Macaca mulatta: one gene and its partners. The protein of the gene in region 3 interacts with the protein of the main gene of each other region in a biochemical or structural test. Links are inferred from orthologs where the notes say so. Each region holds a gene or a part of one and is shown on either strand. Other genes may lie near its edges.

Region 1 (3,520 bases), on a different chromosome or scaffold from region 3:
GTTATCCTGCCTCAGCCTTCTGACTAGCTGGGATTCCAGGCATGTGCCACCATGGCTGGCTAATTTTTGTATTTTTAATAGAGATTGGGTTTCACCATGTTGGCCAGCTGGTCTCGAATGCCTAACCTCGTGAGCCACCTGCCTTGGCCTCCCAAAGTGGTGGGATTACAGTTGTGAGCCACCACACCTGGCCCAAATATTGCTAATTTAACATCTTTTAAAATGTTTGTTTAAGGGAAACTTAACAACTTACCCAGCTAGCCAAAACGTTGACAATTTTCCTGGCAATTTAGGAAGTAGGACATAGTAACTATTAAGAGCCAGTTTATTTTTAGAGTACTATGGAAATGATGATGGTGATTCTCTAATTAGGATATTGTTAAGAGTACCATGTCTGTATATTTCCTCTTAGTTTGTTAATGTGATTGAATAGTTTTCAAATTAACCCCCCCCTTTTTTTTTAGGCTACAGATTGCAACCCAATTAATATCAAAGTATCCTGCAAGTTTACCTAACTGTGAGCTGTCTCCATTACTGATGATACTCTCTCAGCTTCTACCCCAACAGCGACATGGGGAACGTACACCGTATGTGTTACGATGCCTTACGGAAGTTGCACTGTGCCAAGACAAGAGGTCAAACCTAGAAAGCTCACAAAAGTCAGATTTATTAAAACTCTGGAATAAAATTTGGTGTATTACCTTTCGTGGTATAAGTTCTGAGCAAATACAAGCTGAAAACTTTGGCTTACTTGGAGCCATAATTCAGAGTAGTTTAGTTGAGGTTGACAGAGAATTCTGGAAGTTATTTACTGGGTCAGCCTGCAGACCTTCATGGTAAGTTTAGCATGCATTATGTCTGACTTTACATATAAACACACACAGACACACACTCACATATCCCTGATCATTTTCATAGTTTGTTACTTCAGTTAAAGATGTCAAATTCTATTTCAGATGCTTTTCTTGTTTGGCCAAGAAGACTTAATAAATGCATAAATGTCGACAAATTATTAAAGCCTAATGTTAAGGAATTTCTTTTTTTAATTAAAAAATTTTTAATTGATCTATGATAGAGTTATATATTTTCAAGGTACATGTGATAATTTGACACACTCATATGACACACTCATGTAGAGTGATGGGATATCATCACCCTACATATCTTTTCTTCATGCCAGGAACATTTGAATTATTCTCTTCTTGCTATTTTGAAATGTACAGTAGATTAATGTTAACCGTAGTCATCCTACTGATGTATCAGACACCAGGTCTTATTCCTTCTAATTGTATATGTGTATCCAAAAGACTTTCTTTAAAGAATTACCAAGAGTTTAAATTTCTTTTATGTGCAATTTATCATTATTTATTCAATAGCCTTGTTAAAATTGTAGTACTATCCACTGTTAATAAAAGAACTATTTTTTAATCAAGAATCTTCCCAAATGTAATCAGACTTTTAACAATTTTTATGTTCATTTAGTCAACTTAACTAAATGTTTGTGCCAGCCACTGTCCTGATAGATAAAGTCTTTGCTCCTTCAAGAGCTTGCTTTTCATAATTGTCCTTTGTTTTGTTATAGTCCTGCAGTATGCTGTTTGACTTTGGCACTGACCACCAGTGTAGTTCCTGGAACAGTAAAAATGGGAATAGAGCAAAATATGTGTGAAGTAAATAGAAGCTTTTCTTTAAAGGAATCAATAATGAAATGGCTCTTATTCTATCAGCTAGAGGGTGACTTAGAAAATAGTACAGAAGTGCCTCCAATTCTTCACAGGTAATTTAAGTTCGTTAGCATGCTGCTGGTTTTTTTGTTTTGTCAGGCTCTCTCCACTTACTTGATGCCACTTGGCTTTATTTTATAATAGTAATGCAGAATCTCCCAGATCTAACCTTAATTATTAAATATTACATTTGTTTTTACAGTCTATCTGTGTCTTTATACCTGATTGCTTCTGAAATAAAGAGTTGTCTCACTGTGAGAATATGGGGGATGTGCATGAAGAATGCACATATAATTCTTTGAGCATTTATGTGTTCCTTTCTGATTTTTTAAATAAATAAGTCCATATATCTCAGTTATGTAGATCCTGGATCCTTTCTCATAATGGGAGTGTCTTTTGGGTAAAATATGTTTTATAGATAAGGTGAGGAAATGAGGAAGACAAAACAGGATGTAAGCACTAGGATAAAGGAATGGAGTCACTTGTCCACTTAACCTTTGCACAGATGGTAATTGGAACCAAATGATTGGAGAGCAGACCTCTGAATGGATCCAATTAAAGAACTTTTGCTTTAATTTTACAACCTTTTATTTACTTCAGAAATACTGTTAATCAGACATCCTATTTCTAAACAGTATTGGAAATGATAGTAACAATGGTTGTCCTCCTTAAATTATCCTTTTAGATATTAAGAAATTCAGTATAGATGAAAGCAATTTTAATCTAGGATCCAAATTTTAGAAGTCAAGATTTATAGCTAAACGTGGATGTTAAAGTTTAAAGTATTCTTTATGTGGCTTTTGGTCTTCTAAGTGAAGCTTTTGGTTTTTCTTTATAGTAATTTTCCTCATCTTGTACTGGAGAAAATTCTTGTGAGTCTCACTATGAAAAACTGTAAAGCTGCAATGAATTTTTTCCAAAGTGTGCCAGAATGGTATGTTATCTAATAATGTTCTTTGTCATTTTAAGCTATAGCTTTAATTACGAAGATGATAATTTTAGTTGTGTAGTAGCTGTATCTTAATAATTGTAAACTAAATTGGTCCAAAACAAATTGCAACTGTTACCCAGGGAAGAGGTTGTTTTAATTCAGTGGTTGTAATCTGTGTTATATAACATTAGACCAAGGTTACTATTTTTTAATGCTGTATAGTACAATATGTGGCAAGTGCCAATGAGAAAAGTTGAGTGGTTATGCTGGGAAATTAAGAATATATAATTTATATGAAATAAGTTCTTAAAGATGTTACCCATTTCTGTACATCAACTATGATTTGACTATTTGTTAGCTTTAAAAACTAAGGATAATTGAAAACAAAAATAAATCTAAACCTGATTTTAGTTGATTGACTCAAGAGACTTAAATTGTATTACTGTGACTGAAAACGACTCACTGGCACAAAGATTCCTTATCTCCCTCAAGAGGGCAAAAGATGAAAAAAATTCCTACTTTTTGGAGAAATTAATAGTGAAAAACAAATAAATACCAACAACAATAATGAAACTTTGGTAGCAAGATCGTTACTTTTCTAACCCAAAGGATGCGTAACTGCTTAACCATACCAGATATTAAAGGTTTTTAAATCTATGCTTGTTACTCCTTCTGCTTGGTGAAAAAAGGGTTGTGTTTGCAGACAATGTTATGCTTAACATTGATATCTGGTAATTTTAAAAATACTTTCTGAATTTGCCTTTGAAATTGTAACTTATATTTTTTTCTCTGTCTATTGGTAAATTTTGCTACTGAATAATGAAATTTGATACAAGTAGGTATCAAAGTCCAAAGGAGAGAAGCA
Region 2 (2,676 bases), on a different chromosome or scaffold from region 3:
CCCTAGCCTGGTCATGCCAGCAGCAAAGAGCAAGGAACCAAAGGGCAGCCTTCCCCACGGCCTGCCTGCCAGTCACCAGTTTGAGCCAGGAAGCAGTGGAGGGGGACAATAGAATTATACTGTTGTTCATATTGTCTGTATGTAAAAACTAATCTGGGGATAATATAATAATCCTTGCCCAACCCCATCCCTACCCCCAAGCAATTGAATTCTTTAAAAAACAGCTTCACCGAAAATATGAGGAAGACCAGATTTTACAGGGCTTACTCAACAATTTTGAGATGTGCATAGTAAGAGAACTTTAGTTCTTATCCTTTTGACAGCAGAACAGGGGGCATGGAAAACAGCATATTTCTGGTTCAGGAAAAGACCCTTGATTTTATGCATGACAGCATTGATGATGAGCAGAGACTGAGACTTTTAGTCTTGAATATTTCACTTGTTTTGAGCAAAAGTAGCCAAGACCAGTTTAAGGCCAGGAAAAGGGAGTAGTTAAGTACTCAGAGAGGGTTGAAGCAATAGAAGTTTTGAGAAGGCCCAATGGCTCAATGCATTTCTTTCTCTGCAGTATGCCACCACGGGCTGTTCCCTGACCCTGCACCATACGGAGAAACCAGAACATGAAGACATCTGTGAATACCGTCCCTACTCCTGCCCTTGTCCTGGTGCCTCCTGCAAGTGGCAGGGGTCCCTGGAAGCTGTGATGTCCCATCTCATGCATGCCCACAAGAGCATTACCACCCTCCAAGGAGAAGACATCGTCTTTCTAGCTACAGACATTAACTTGCCAGGGGCTGTCGACTGGGTGATGATGCAGTCATGTTTTGGCCATCACTTCATGCTGGTGCTGGAGAAACAAGAGAAGTACGAAGGCCACCAGCAGTTTTTTGCCATCGTCCTGCTCATTGGCACCCGCAAGCAAGCTGAGAACTTTGCCTATAGACTGGAGTTGAATGGGAACCGGCGGAGATTGACCTGGGAGGCCACACCCCGGTCGATTCATGACGGTGTGGCTGCGGCCATCATGAACAGCGACTGCCTTGTTTTCGACACAGCCATAGCACATCTTTTTGCAGATAATGGGAACCTTGGAATCAATGTGACTATTTCTACATGTTGTCCATGATGTGACTTTCGTAAACCATCAAAATTATTTGGGCATAGTGCTCTATGTTTAATAAAGGTTTTTATAGATGTTTTATTCCATATGTCTTCACAAGTCAGGACCCACAATTACCCGTGTTTTGTTTGAACAGCAGTTTCCCATCTGGCTTCAACCCAACAAAGTTCATTAACCTGGGATGAATGGGGTTGGCCTGTTGGTAATTTGGAGGCTGTTCTGTGATCTAAAACAACTCTTATTAAATTGTATTTACTCCCTAAACAACACTTGACAGGCTGTTGCACAGGGCTTCTATAGATCAGTGTGTCAGGAATGGGAGGCCCCTTCCTGCCTGCCTTCGCGTATTGGTCCCTTGACATTGACAAAAGCACAGTGACTGTCAGCAGATTCCTTTACTTTTGTTTGTGGGATGTAGGAATTGTTTTAATGCATTTTAAACAGTGTTTCTCAAATAGGATGGCTGGCTAATAGACACTGAATCACCCGGAGTGCTTATCTTAAAATTGCAGATTTAGGGAGCCTGCCAATTTAACAGTCTCATCAGGTGATTCTTTTCAGCAGTAATGTTTGAGAATTACTGGGTTAAATTGTGGGAAAGGGTCCAGATTTTAAAGGTGCTTTAAGGTTGCCCTCTGCCGATACTGTTTGTCTTTCTACTGTTTCATCCCCTAACCTCCCCCAACCCTCAAATTAAAACTAGTAGAACTATAGATCCACATGAACACACGCCTGAGATTTGGTCACTCACCTATGTTTTGGGTGGATTGCCTAGGAAAGAAAGTCATATGGCCATTGATAGTTCTCATGTAATTAGTTTTGCTCACCACTAGTACAGATGACCCGTTTACACATGGCTTCCCTCGGAAGCCCTCGTCGACAGTAGCTGGTGTGAAAGACGAGGTCAGTAGAGTTGGAAAAGCTTTATAACCGGTGTGTCATATGCTTGCTATTTAAAGCTGTGTGTTGGTTTTGTTTTTCTGCCACATTCACTAGTTTTTTAATAAATATTTTCCAAAAATGGATGTTGTGCTTCATTTCCCTAATTGAATAACGGGTATTTATTGAGCATCTACTGTGTGCAATTCATGTAGTGAACCTTCATCACTACATCTGGGGTTGGAACTTTCACTGTTTCCACTGTGGAAACAGTCACTGGGCCAAGTCATGGCGTGGGTCCATGACAGCACTGGGGTCCGGGCTCACGTGTCTGAACCACTGAATGTCAGTGCAGCAGGTCTCCTCCCAGGGCTGTCGTTTCTATCTGATGGTGCCAGTAGCTGTGCAAGAAGAGGATTGCTCCTGCTTTACAGAGTCAGAAGGAAGACGCTTGGCCAGTGCTGACATCCAGAGTGCTAGGGTTGATCCATGGTGACCCACTGCCTCAGTCCCAACCCTAAACTCTCAAAAGAATTGAGAGGATTAGGGCCAAATGCTCAGCAAGGATTGAAGGCTGCTTACTTCAGTGTCCCAGTTTCCCTTTTTTGTTGTTGTTGTTGTTTTTGTTTTTGAGACGGAGGCTGGAGTGCAATGGCATGATCTCAGCTCACTGCAAC
Region 3 (3,520 bases):
ACTAATTAGTCCTGTTCTCTAACTTCCCTTGCTTACTTATTGTAAGGTTTATAATGCTTTTTAATATTATTCTCAAGTTACAAATAGTAAAACTGTTTTACTTTACTTTGTCCTTATTTTGGTTCTCTTTGAACTAAATCTTTAAATATTGGAGTGATTTCTGATAACACATGCTTCAGAGTTTCCTTCCTGGAAATAAAAACTCTAAAAGATCATGGAGATAAATGATATAGTATACATTAGATGCTTAATCATTTGTTTATTGATTGATTATTTGAGATAGGGTCTTACTCTATCATCCAGGATGGAGTACTGTGGTGTGATCTGTAGCTTAATGTAGCCTGGAACTTTTAGGCTCAAGAGATCCTCCTGCCTCAGCCTCCCAAGGCGCTGGGATTACAGTCATGAGCCACTGTGCCCAGCCCAGTATACCTTTTTAAATTAACCTGCTGATGTGTAACAAATAAAAAAAGAAAAGTAACACTAAAATGTTACTACTCTGGGCAGTTTGGGTCAAAAGAAGCTGTCTGTTCTAGTCCCCTCTCTCCCAATGTCTTAACTTAAACTGCTTTGTTTCTTAGTGAAATTAAAGGAGCTTACTTCTTAGAATACAATAATTAGGTCAATAAAATGGTACTTGTATTTAAATACAGATAATACATTAAAATTTTAAATATGAATAAATAAAAATAATTTGATAATACTTTTCATCATTGTTTATTATGTAATCTCTTATTTTTTTCTCCCCTTAGAATTGAGAAAAGTTTCCAAGTCTTCAACTCATCCACAACATAATCCTAATGAAAATGAAATTCTAGTAGCTGACACTTATGACCAAAGTCAACCTCCAATGGCCAGTAAGCAAGATACTGAGATTACTTTACAAGTTTAAATTGTGGTTATTGGTGGGTAAGAGTGACCCACAGTCTAACTTAGACAATATTTTAAAGGTATTTTCTGTATAATTTTGTTTATATTACTAGTTTACTATCTTTTTCATATTGGAAAGTAATGTTATCCTATTAGTTCATATAAATATCCCTAATGATATTAATATAAATTACTAATAATTTTAAGTAAAGAAGGCTTTACTGTAATTTACTTATTTGTTCAACAAATATTTAAGCATCTGTTGTATACCAGGCACTAAGTAAAACAAAGCCCTTGTCCTCATGGAGCTTATGATCTAGTTGAGGGAGAAATAAAATTTATGTCAGATAGAAGCAAGTGCTCTGAAGAAAAGTAAAGCAGGGTAAGAAGGGATATTAGAAAGCCTCACTGGTAAAGTGTCGTTTGCATAAGGACTGAGGGAGGGAAGTGAGTCACGTGGCTATCTGGGAGACGGGCACCCAGGCAGAGAGATTTGCAAGCCCAGAGGCCTTGCAGTGAAGATGGCATTTGGTTTGTTTGAGGAACATTAAGGAACCCTGTGTGGCTGGAGCAGAGTGAGTGAAGGGGAGATTGGTTTGGACAAAAGGAAAAATAGAGTTACCATTTACTGAGATGGAAGAGACTGGGAGCCACAGGTGTATAGGTTGGGGCAGGGATGAGTAGAAATTAGAAGTTTCGTTTTGGGAATATTCCATTTGAAATGCAAACTCAACATTCAGGTAGAGTTTGGATTCGTGAGTAGATGTGAGTTAGAATTTAGAGAAGTTTAGGATGGAGACACATGGAAGTTGTCAGCATGTAGATGGCATCTAAGCCATAAAACTAAATGAGATTACCAAGCAAGTGATAATAGAAGGGAATGAGAAGTCCAAGTATTGAGCCTTAAGGAACTTCATTACGTAAAGCCATGATTTTCAACTTTTCTTTTGTTGAAGAACCCCCACCCCAGCTTTTTTAGACATTTCCCCCTCCCCCCAATCCCTTCCCTACTGGAGTTTTAGTACTACAGATATACTGTATATCTGTTTAAGTGATACGTGTATGCATGTATGTCTGTGCTTTATACATAGTAAGGTTTTTTTTGCTCCCGCCTGCCCCAAACCATTTTTACTCCCTTAGAGAAAAGATTGTAGCTGTTGAGGTTGTGAAAATGAGTAGGAACCAACAAAACAGAGAAGGAGCTGCCAATGAGATAGGAAAACTAAAAATGATGTCCTTTAAGCCAAGTGGAGAGAGGACGAAGGGGTGGTCAACTGTGTTTAACAATGCTAATAAGTCAAGTAAGATGAAGACTTCTTAGAATTGACCATGGGATTTGGTTGCATGGAGATCACTGAGTGTTGAACTAGTGACATGATAAAAACTGTTAAGGTGTAATATTGACCATCTGAGATCTGTCTCATGTTCAAAGGAAGCTAAGGACAGAGAAAGTGGAAAGAGCACATACAAACAAGTCTTCCAAGACTTGACAGTCAAGAGGAGGAGAGAACAGGACAGTGGCTAAAGAAGAACATGAGTCAAGGGATGATTTTTTCAAGATGGAATATTATAGCATGATTAGCACATATTTATGTTGATAGGATGATCAAGTAAAGAGGAGAAAATTAATAATTCTGGAGAAAGAGGGAACAATTGCTACATCCTTAAAAAGGTCAGAGGAGATGAGATCCAGAGCCCAGTTGTAAGGGTTGGTCAAGGTTAATCTCTTATTCATTTTATAATAGTATAAAAGTTACATTCTGAAAGCTACTAATCATTTTATATTAACATGTGTGTCTGTTTGTCTGTCCATGAGTATGTGTGCATGTGCATGGAGGCTCCGGGTCCTCGGGATATAACACTGAGGTGCTAGGGATATAACACTGAGTGCAGCAGATCCTTGCTTCTCAGCTCTCTAGAACCAATTCTCTTCTGTTGCTGCCAGGTCTTTGCTCCATTATTTGTCCTGTCTTCCTTATACAGTATCTACAGTTTCTCTGCTGTCATTTTTAAGTATATACACGTATATGTTATCTTCCATCTTTAAAAAATAACCCCACTTTTAATAATCTCCACCTTTAGCTACAGCTTCTCTTCAGAGGTGAAAAAGTATTAAAGTCTATATTCAATATCTCTACTTTCCTAATTCGCATTCACTCCAACTCACTGTAATATGGATTCTACTCCCACCCCCACCCGCAAGAGAGGAAGAGAGAGGGAAGGGGGAGGGAAGGAGGAAAGGAGGGGAGAGAAAAGTGCTAGAGGAGCAGGGTATAGGGGAAGGGAGGGAGACTTACAGGGGTTGAAGAGAGGAGAATGCATTCACAAACCCTTTGTTACTGCTTACACTTGAACTGCTTCTGACTGTAAATGTCATCAGTGTTGCTGTTCTCCAAAATATGTGGTACTGTGCCTGTTCTATTTCTGTCTCTCTCTTTCTCTCTTTTTTTTTTTTTTTTTTTTGAGACCAGGTCTCTCTCTGTCACCCAGGCTGGAGTGCAGTGGCACAAACACAGCTCACTGCAGCCTCAACCTCCCAGGCTCAAGTAATCCTCCCACCTCAGCCCCCCAAGTAGCTGAGACTACAGGCACACACCACCATGTCTGGCTAATATTTGTATTTTTGTAGAACAGGGTTTCACCATGTTGC
Region 4 (3,138 bases), on a different chromosome or scaffold from region 3:
CAGCTCTTCTGACTGGCCTCCCAGCCTCCCCCAGGCTGTTCCCAAGTGACTGGGAGTCCCCTGGGCGTTTGGGCCACATCTGGCTGCCCTGTCTGCCTGGCGGTCTGGTCTCCTTGGCCCTCAGGCCGCCGCCACCGTGGGCCCCTCACACGTGTTGTTCCAGCTCTTCGGCTCCCTTCCCATCCCCTCATGTCTCCAACAAGCTTGGTCTTCTCAGGGATGCCTGCCCTGGCTGCCACCTCTGTAACTGCACCCGCTTCCCTCCTGCCCCAGCGCCCAGCCGGCTTCCTTCCTGTGCAGCGGTTCCCTCTGAGGCGATGCAGGAGACACCACATTGGCGGGCTTGGGTTCTTGTGTCCTTCGCAGCCGCGTCTGGGCTTCTGAGGTCCTGTGTCCTTCGCAGCCGCGTCTGGGCTTCCGGGGTCCTGTGTCCCTTGCAGCCGTGCTGTTGGCTCACGGTGGGCGCATGCACCCTGCCGACCCTTCCCCGGGGAGGAAATGGTGGCTCTGGCTCCGTGGCTCCTGTGCTGGGGCCCACGCCAGCCTTGGACTGCTGGGGTCGGGGCAGGCACGTCTGCCCGGGATGGCTTTCTCTGCCACTCCACTGGAAGGGGACAGGACATGAGCCCAGCGGGGCCTCCCTGGTCTGGAAGGTTCCCTCCCGCCCCCTTTGCCATCTCCACCTAGTCGTGGCTGGAACTGAGATGCCAGAGACATCGATGGGTGGACCGGAAAGCAGGCCAGTGGAGGGACCTGGGCACATAGGGCGTGTGTGGGGTGAGTGGAGACCCGCTGACGGTCCGTTTGACACTGAGTGGTTCGTGTCACGTCCTGTGGACAGGCTGCGGGGGGGCGTGGCTGGCAGCTGGTGTGGGCCGAGGGGCTCGTGCACCCTTTCCCCCCCGTGCACAGCCTCCACCTTGGCAGTGGGCGCATTGGGAGCAGACACCTCGTGTGGAGATACCTCGCGCCGGCACCTTGGCTTGACCACAGCTGGTGTCCTTGGCAGATGGTCAAACTGAGGCACAGGGGCCACTCCGATCCTGGCTGTCAGGGCTAGCCTCCCAGCCACGGGTGAGCGAGGGTTTCACACTGTGTCCTGACACCACCAGGTCGCGTGGGGCAGGCGGTGGCGCTGCGGGCCAAGGCCTTCGGCTTCAACGTGCTCTTCTACGACCCTTACCTGTCGGACGGCGTGGAGCGGGCGCTGGGGCTGCAGCGGGTCAGCACCCTGCAGGACCTGCTTTTCCACAGCGACTGCGTGAGCCTGCACTGCGGCCTCAACGAGCACAACCACCACCTCATCAACGACTTCACCGTCAAGCAGGTGCGTGGAGCCGGGGCACAGGGCTCTCCTTCTGCGGGGCAGGCACAGGTGGGGGTGTCAGGAAGGTCCCTCCCAGCAACCACCTGCACCTGGGCGAGACCCTGCCTTCAGTGAGCCACATGGCGGCGGTGCCGGCCCTGCTGGGGGAAGCCCTGTCTGCCCAGATGGCGTTTTCCATGTTCTGAGTTCTACCCAGGATGCCTGAAATACTCTGGATAAGACAGAACCACATACCTTTGAATCCTAAATTCCCCTGAAGCTCTTGCCACTGTCACAGTGGAGATGATGCAGCTACCTGGGGGCATTGGGCCTGCCCTTCTGACTTCCATCCTGTGCTGCCAGGTTCAGGTTTCACATCTGCAGCTGGAGAGGGCTGTGCTCAGGTCGGCCTCTGCCTCAGCTCAGCGCAGAGCGCAGCCTCAGCCCGTGTTTCCCTCGGGTGGGCGGAGCTCGGGTGGGCGGAGCTCGGGACGGCTGCCTCCCGCTGGCTGTTGGCCTTTCAGGGAGTCGTTATGTGTGCACGGTGATGTGTGTGTATGTGGGCAAGTGTGTGTGGGTGCCTGTGTCTGCCCGTTTGAGCTTGTGTGTGCGTGTGTGTACACGTGTCAGAGGCCACCCACCCACTCAAGCTGCCCCAGCAGCCTGTAGCCACAGGGAGGATGAAACCAGGTGCCCACCTCCCCTTCCTTTGTTCACAGAGCCAGTGGGTTTGGAGCCTTCTAGTGGACAGGGTGTGGCACGTGGATGCTGGTCAGGGCCCTGCCATCCCTGAGGACCTTGGGTGTGAGGCTGCAATGGGCAGCAACTCACCAAAGAAAAGCCACCGTGACCCACCCGGCTGCCACCCAAGTGCAATGGCTGGGTGGGCTTCCTCGGAATGAAATGGGGGGGTTGCAGGAAAGCCCTGGCCACGAAGCTGACAGGGAGCCACTGCAAGGGCCTTTTGCAAAAGTGCATGAAAAGTGAGCCTGTCCGGAGGCCCCACTGGGGTTGGAGTCAAACACCACACCTCAGAGTAGACGGCCCTGGGCTTTGTCATCCCAGGGAGTCCCACCTCGTGGGCCGAGGCCCTGTTGGGGGAGGCTGGGCTGGAGGGGACCCAGAGAAGGGGTACCACAGGGGGACCAAGCCAGGAGCCCCCACCCAGTCCTCAGCTCAGGGCTTGGGCAGGAACGTAGAGCTCTCTAGGAGGTGTGGGGCCATGCAGGTCTGCCAGGGCCGAACCTCAGCCAGCTTGCCAGGGCCGCGGCGCAGCACGCCTGAGGTCTTAAGTCCTAGCACCCTGGTGAGCCCAGGGTGGGCCTGGGCTGGGAAGGGGCCAGGGAGCTGGGCCTCCTCAGCAGCGTGCGTGACCACCTTGCTTCCCTGGCCGCTCGCCCTGCACGGAACCCTGACTGGGCCTGGCCTGTCCTCATGTCTTCCAGATGAGACAAGGGGCCTTCCTGGTGAACACAGCCCGGGGCGGCCTGGTGGACGAGAAGGCGCTGGCCCAGGCCCTGAAGGAGGGCCGGATCCGCGGCGCGGCCCTGGACGTGCACGAGTCGGAACCCTTCAGGTGCCCTCACAGCCAGTGTCACCCCCTGCTCTTCCCTGCCCACCATCCTGCCGGCCTTGACCTGCAGATGGCGCCTCCGCCAGGCCGGGCACTTGCTTGTACTCAGGCCTCTCGCTGGCCGGCATGGGGGAGTTTGCTGCTCACTGTGGGGTGAGGACGGAGCCACGGGCTCCAGGCCTGCCTCGCCTCGGTCCTGTGAGGGTTGATCGTCCTCCTCAGCCCCTCTTCGGGCAGGGCTCCCCACCAGCCAGGAGAG
Region 5 (4,038 bases), on a different chromosome or scaffold from region 3:
TCGAGACCAGCCTGGCTAATGTGGTGAAACCCCGTCTCTACTAAAAATACAAAAATTAGCTGAGCATGGTGACGCGCATCTGTAATTCCAACTACCAGAGAGGCTGAGGCAGGAGAATAGCTTGAACCCAGGAGGCGGAGGTTGCAGTGAGCCGAGATCGCGCCACTGCACTCCAGCCTAGGAGACAGAGCAAGGCTGTCTCAAAAGAGGAAAAAAAAAAAAAAAAAAAGCTGGGTGCGGCGACTCCCGCCTGTAATTCCAGCACTTTGGGAAGCCAAGGCGGGCGGATCACTTGAGTCCAGGAGTTTGAGACCAGCCTGGCCAACATGGTGAAACCCCGTCTCTACCAAAAATACAAAAATTAGCCGGGCGTGGTGGTGCATGCCTGTAATCCCAGCTACTCAGCAGGCTGAGGCCCAAGAATCCTTTGAGGCCAGGAGGTGGAGGTTCCAGTGAGCAAGGATCGCGCCACTCCACTCCAGCCTGGGCGACGGAGCAAGACTCTGTCTTAAAAAAAAGAAAAAAAAAAGTCGTCAAAAGCAGTAAAATATAAAGCTTTTTCCTTTCTTCTGTATCTCTCGACTATTTCACGGCGTTTTTTTTTTGAGACGGAGTTTTGCTCTTGTCGCCCAGGCTGGAGTGCAATGCCGCCATCTTGGATCACCAGAACTTCCGCCTCCCGGGTTCAAGAGATTCTACTACTGCCTCAGCCTCCAGAGTAGCTAGAACTAGAGTAGCTGGGATTACAGGCGTGCGCCACCACGCCCGGCTAATTTTGTATTTTTAGTAGAGACGGGGTTTCTCCACGTCGGTCAGGCTGGTCTCAAACTCCCGGCCTCCCAAAGTGCTGGGATTACAGGCGTGAGCCACCGCTCCCGGCTCTCATGGGTGTTTTTTAAATTTTATGTTTAATGTCGTTCTGAGTAAAGGAAAATTAAAAATTTAAATTAGCATGACTTTTACCATTCACCCTTATACTGTACAATCCCAGTTTTACATGCAGATTATTAAACCAAGCGTGGGGCCCTTCTGAACATCCATGAAGGCAAGCCTGCCCTGGTCAAGGTTAGGTTTCTGAGATAACCCGACTCGAGGTAGAGAGAAGGTCAAACCTTCAAATTCCCAATAAAGCAATGATTTGTCAAAATTTTATCTTCAAGTTAAGTGATAAATCCAATCTATAAAACCAACCACTTTGAAGTAGGCTTTTCCTTTTACTATGTTAATCCTGTCCAACTTCTATTATTCTGCCTTTTTACAAAACACAAAAGCATACTCTGAAAAGACAACCGATATTGGACTAGACAATCATAAATTTAATAAAACCTAACTACTCAAAACCATTTGTTAGCTAAAAATAACAATGTACCCAAAAATGCTTCTTTTTCACTTTTTGTGGACCATTTAAGCCAAACCATACTATATTTTTGATGTGCCAAGTAAAAATGATCCATACTGATCTGTTACACATATAAATTCTGGCAAAATAAATTCAATTTTCAAACCACAAATATTTACTATCCTATTCTTTCCCCAAATTAATCAGCAATGAAGAGTGCAAGTTAACATCCTCTACCACTGATAAACTGTGACTCTAAGCACCTACTACATGTGATGATTAAAAATGAGAATCAAATTATATAATTACATTAAGTGCTAAAAAGTTGAAATGTTCTATACATTTCTAGATCTATTAAGGATTACTGAAACATGAATGCATTGATAAGCTCTTAACCAATTTTCAAATTAGTAGAAGTATTAGAGCATCCTGCTCCCTAGATATGAAAAACAGGCATTAAAATTAGGGTATGTATGTCTGCAAGGCATTTTCTAAATTACCACTTAATCAGATCAACAAAGGCAAACAAATTCGGAAAACAGAAAAGACTAAACAAATGTAAGGTGTTAACTAAATATTCAGAGTAAGAAAAGGGGCCTAAAGCGGCCTAGAACGAGGAAAAGCAAAGCGCCTACAGTAACGTTACATTTGAATTAAAGAATACCGTTATTTAAATAAGCAGTTAGCACTTCGTAGGAGGAAGGCCAAGCAACGTGACTATTATAGATCTATGGATTCACAGCACTGCTTTACTATTATTCCGTACTTATTTGCTTTTATTTGTAATATAGAAATAAAGAGGCAGCAACAGTTAGCCACTACATTAACCACTCTAGCAAAGGTTACTTTAAAAAACGGCCTTGAATTCTTACAACACTCTACAGTTAAGGATTATTTTCACATATATGACCTCATATAGTCCTCTCAACCCTGCGATGTTGGTACTACCGACTATATTTCATAGATAAGAAACCGAGGCTCGGTACGCGATTTTTTCTCAGAGTCACCCAAGTCGAACCCAGACCTTCCGATTCCTAGTTTTATGCCTCGCATTTCGCATAGTTCTATTTCAGGCATAAATTGAATTGTTAAAGGGAAGGAACGGGTTAGGGAAAAAATAATCATGGTACCTGCAGCTGTGTGCTGCAAAAAATGGCTGAATTATGCTTCTTCCTTTTTCTTTCTCGCTCTCTCTGGGGAAAAAAAAAAAATTACATTTCAAACAATTTAAGTAAACTCAAAGACAAATGAGGTCCCGGCGTCTACCCAATGTTTGACTCGGGTCCGTGTAGAGAGGGCCGGCGAATTCGTGCCTAGCTCGGGGTCGCGGGCGAAGCCCGGGCTCCGCAGGCCGGCGGCCAGGGGCGGCTACGTACCTCGGGGGGTCCTGTCCAGCCTCTAGTGGACGGCAGTCTGCATCAGGAAGAACCGGGCCGGCGGGCCAATGGGTGGGCGGTCGGGCGCCGGGACGGCACTCGGCAGGCTTCTCGGACGTCTACGAGCGGCCGCTGCCGGCACGAGCCGGGTCGCTCCGGCGGGGCACGAGCGTGCTCGCCTGCAGCACCCTCTGGATAAGTCCTGGGAAAGAAGACAGCGCTGAGTCGCGAAACCAGACAGTCGGGCTCCGCACGAGGCGGCGCGGCGTCGGGGCCCGGACCGACCTTGCCAACGCCGGGGGCCTCGCAGCACCCGGCGGGGCTCGGCGGGAGGGCCGACTGGGGCCGCGGGCGGGGGAAAGGGCTGGGGGGCAGCAGGCAGAGACAGAAGCACCAGAGAAGGTAGCGTCGAGGACGGCGTCTCCGAGCTTCTGCCCCGAAGCGCGCCGAGCCTCGGGATCACCCACGCCGGGGGTGGAGGAAGGCGGGAAAGGGGCGGGGAAGGGGCGGGGCGTGCGGGGCCACGAGCCGGGGGCCGCTCCGGGCCGCGCGCCCCCTGCGGGCCGCGGGAGCCGCCCGGGGCCCGCCCAGGGAGGCGGGGCTGGCCGGCACGGGGCCCCGTGCGCCGTCGTCTTGACGCGGAAGCCCGCCACGCTGGGAGAGAGGGCGGAGGGTGGGAAGCCGTTGGGGGCGGGGAGCTGGCCCGGGAGGCCCCCCCTCGGCCCCTGCTGGCGCCCCGAGGGGGCCAGCCTGTGGCCTGGCGGGTGTTTACCTTCCCCCTGGTCGAGCGCCAATGCCGCCATCTTTCAGCCTAAAGCGCGTCACTTCCGGCGCCACGGGAGCGGGAGCCGGTGTGGGAACGGGGGTGGGGGGCTGGCGGGGAAGGCTGTCCCGCGCCCGCGGCGCCCCGCGTCCCGGCTGCCGGCCCGCCACGCCAGCGGTTTCCCACCGAGGAAAACAGGCGACCGGGCGTCGCGGCCCCAGACTGGGCCCGACGCAGCTTCCCCCGCGGCGCCGCCGTCGGGGCTGAGGACACTCAGCTGTCCTCGTCCCCTTGGTCCCTCTCCGCCTGCACGAGCGATGGGCCCCGAGCCACTGAGGTGCGCCCACCCTCGACAAGTTGAGGGCTAGGAAGCCAGGAAAGTGTCTTTTTGCATCTTGGCCACGGTGGGGGTGGGGGAATCGGGGACAACGTGGAGGGAGCTTTTCCATAGCTACCTGTTATAAAAGTGACTAGATCTGCGCCAAATGACATCATTTTTGTAAGGCAACTTGCAGTGGATTATTGCGTCACTGTCCACTTGGCTTGCTGCACAACAATTA

What was found.
Region 1: of the proteins of RBBP8 (region 3) and ATM, one has a biochemical effect on the other in vitro, tested with the Homo sapiens proteins (4 studies listed by BioGRID, with this or other methods). The link is inferred for Macaca mulatta from reciprocal best matches to the Homo sapiens genes RBBP8 and ATM.
Region 2: the proteins of RBBP8 (region 3) and SIAH2 form a complex in vitro, tested with the Homo sapiens proteins (2 studies listed by BioGRID). The link is inferred for Macaca mulatta from reciprocal best matches to the Homo sapiens genes RBBP8 and SIAH2.
Region 4: the proteins of RBBP8 (region 3) and CTBP1 form a complex in vitro, tested with the Homo sapiens proteins (3 studies listed by BioGRID and IntAct). The link is inferred for Macaca mulatta from reciprocal best matches to the Homo sapiens genes RBBP8 and CTBP1.
Region 5: the proteins of RBBP8 (region 3) and KLHL15 form a complex in vitro, tested with the Homo sapiens proteins (2 studies listed by BioGRID, with this or other methods). The link is inferred for Macaca mulatta from reciprocal best matches to the Homo sapiens genes RBBP8 and KLHL15.

The regions. Positions count from the first base shown.
Region 1 is NC_133419.1:109,102,048-109,105,567, forward strand, and holds part of ATM (serine-protein kinase ATM), read left to right. Parts: intron 1-464; coding exon 465-836; intron 837-1,582; coding exon 1,583-1,777; intron 1,778-2,562; coding exon 2,563-2,658; intron 2,659-3,520.
Region 2 is NC_133407.1:53,779,081-53,781,756, reverse strand, and holds the end of SIAH2 (E3 ubiquitin-protein ligase SIAH2), read left to right. Parts: intron 1-568; coding exon 569-1,126; 3' UTR 1,127-2,157; downstream 2,158-2,676. UniProt on the Homo sapiens protein: E3 ubiquitin-protein ligase that mediates ubiquitination and subsequent proteasomal degradation of target proteins.
Region 3 is NC_133423.1:69,421,055-69,424,574, reverse strand, and holds part of RBBP8 (DNA endonuclease RBBP8), read left to right. Parts: intron 1-752; coding exon 753-857; intron 858-3,520. UniProt on the Homo sapiens protein: Endonuclease that cooperates with the MRE11-RAD50-NBN (MRN) complex in DNA-end resection, the first step of double-strand break (DSB) repair through the homologous recombination (HR) pathway.
Region 4 is NC_133410.1:1,289,648-1,292,785, reverse strand, and holds part of CTBP1 (C-terminal-binding protein 1), read left to right. Parts: intron 1-1,112; coding exon 1,113-1,327; intron 1,328-2,751; coding exon 2,752-2,882; intron 2,883-3,138. UniProt on the Homo sapiens protein: Corepressor targeting diverse transcription regulators such as GLIS2 or BCL6. Has dehydrogenase activity. Involved in controlling the equilibrium between tubular and stacked structures in the Golgi complex.
Region 5 is NC_133426.1:23,827,336-23,831,373, forward strand, and holds the start of KLHL15 (kelch-like protein 15), read right to left. Parts: upstream 2,813-4,038; 5' UTR 2,716-2,812; intron 2,533-2,715; exon of another isoform or gene 2,470-2,532; intron 1-2,469. UniProt on the Homo sapiens protein: Substrate-specific adapter for CUL3 E3 ubiquitin-protein ligase complex.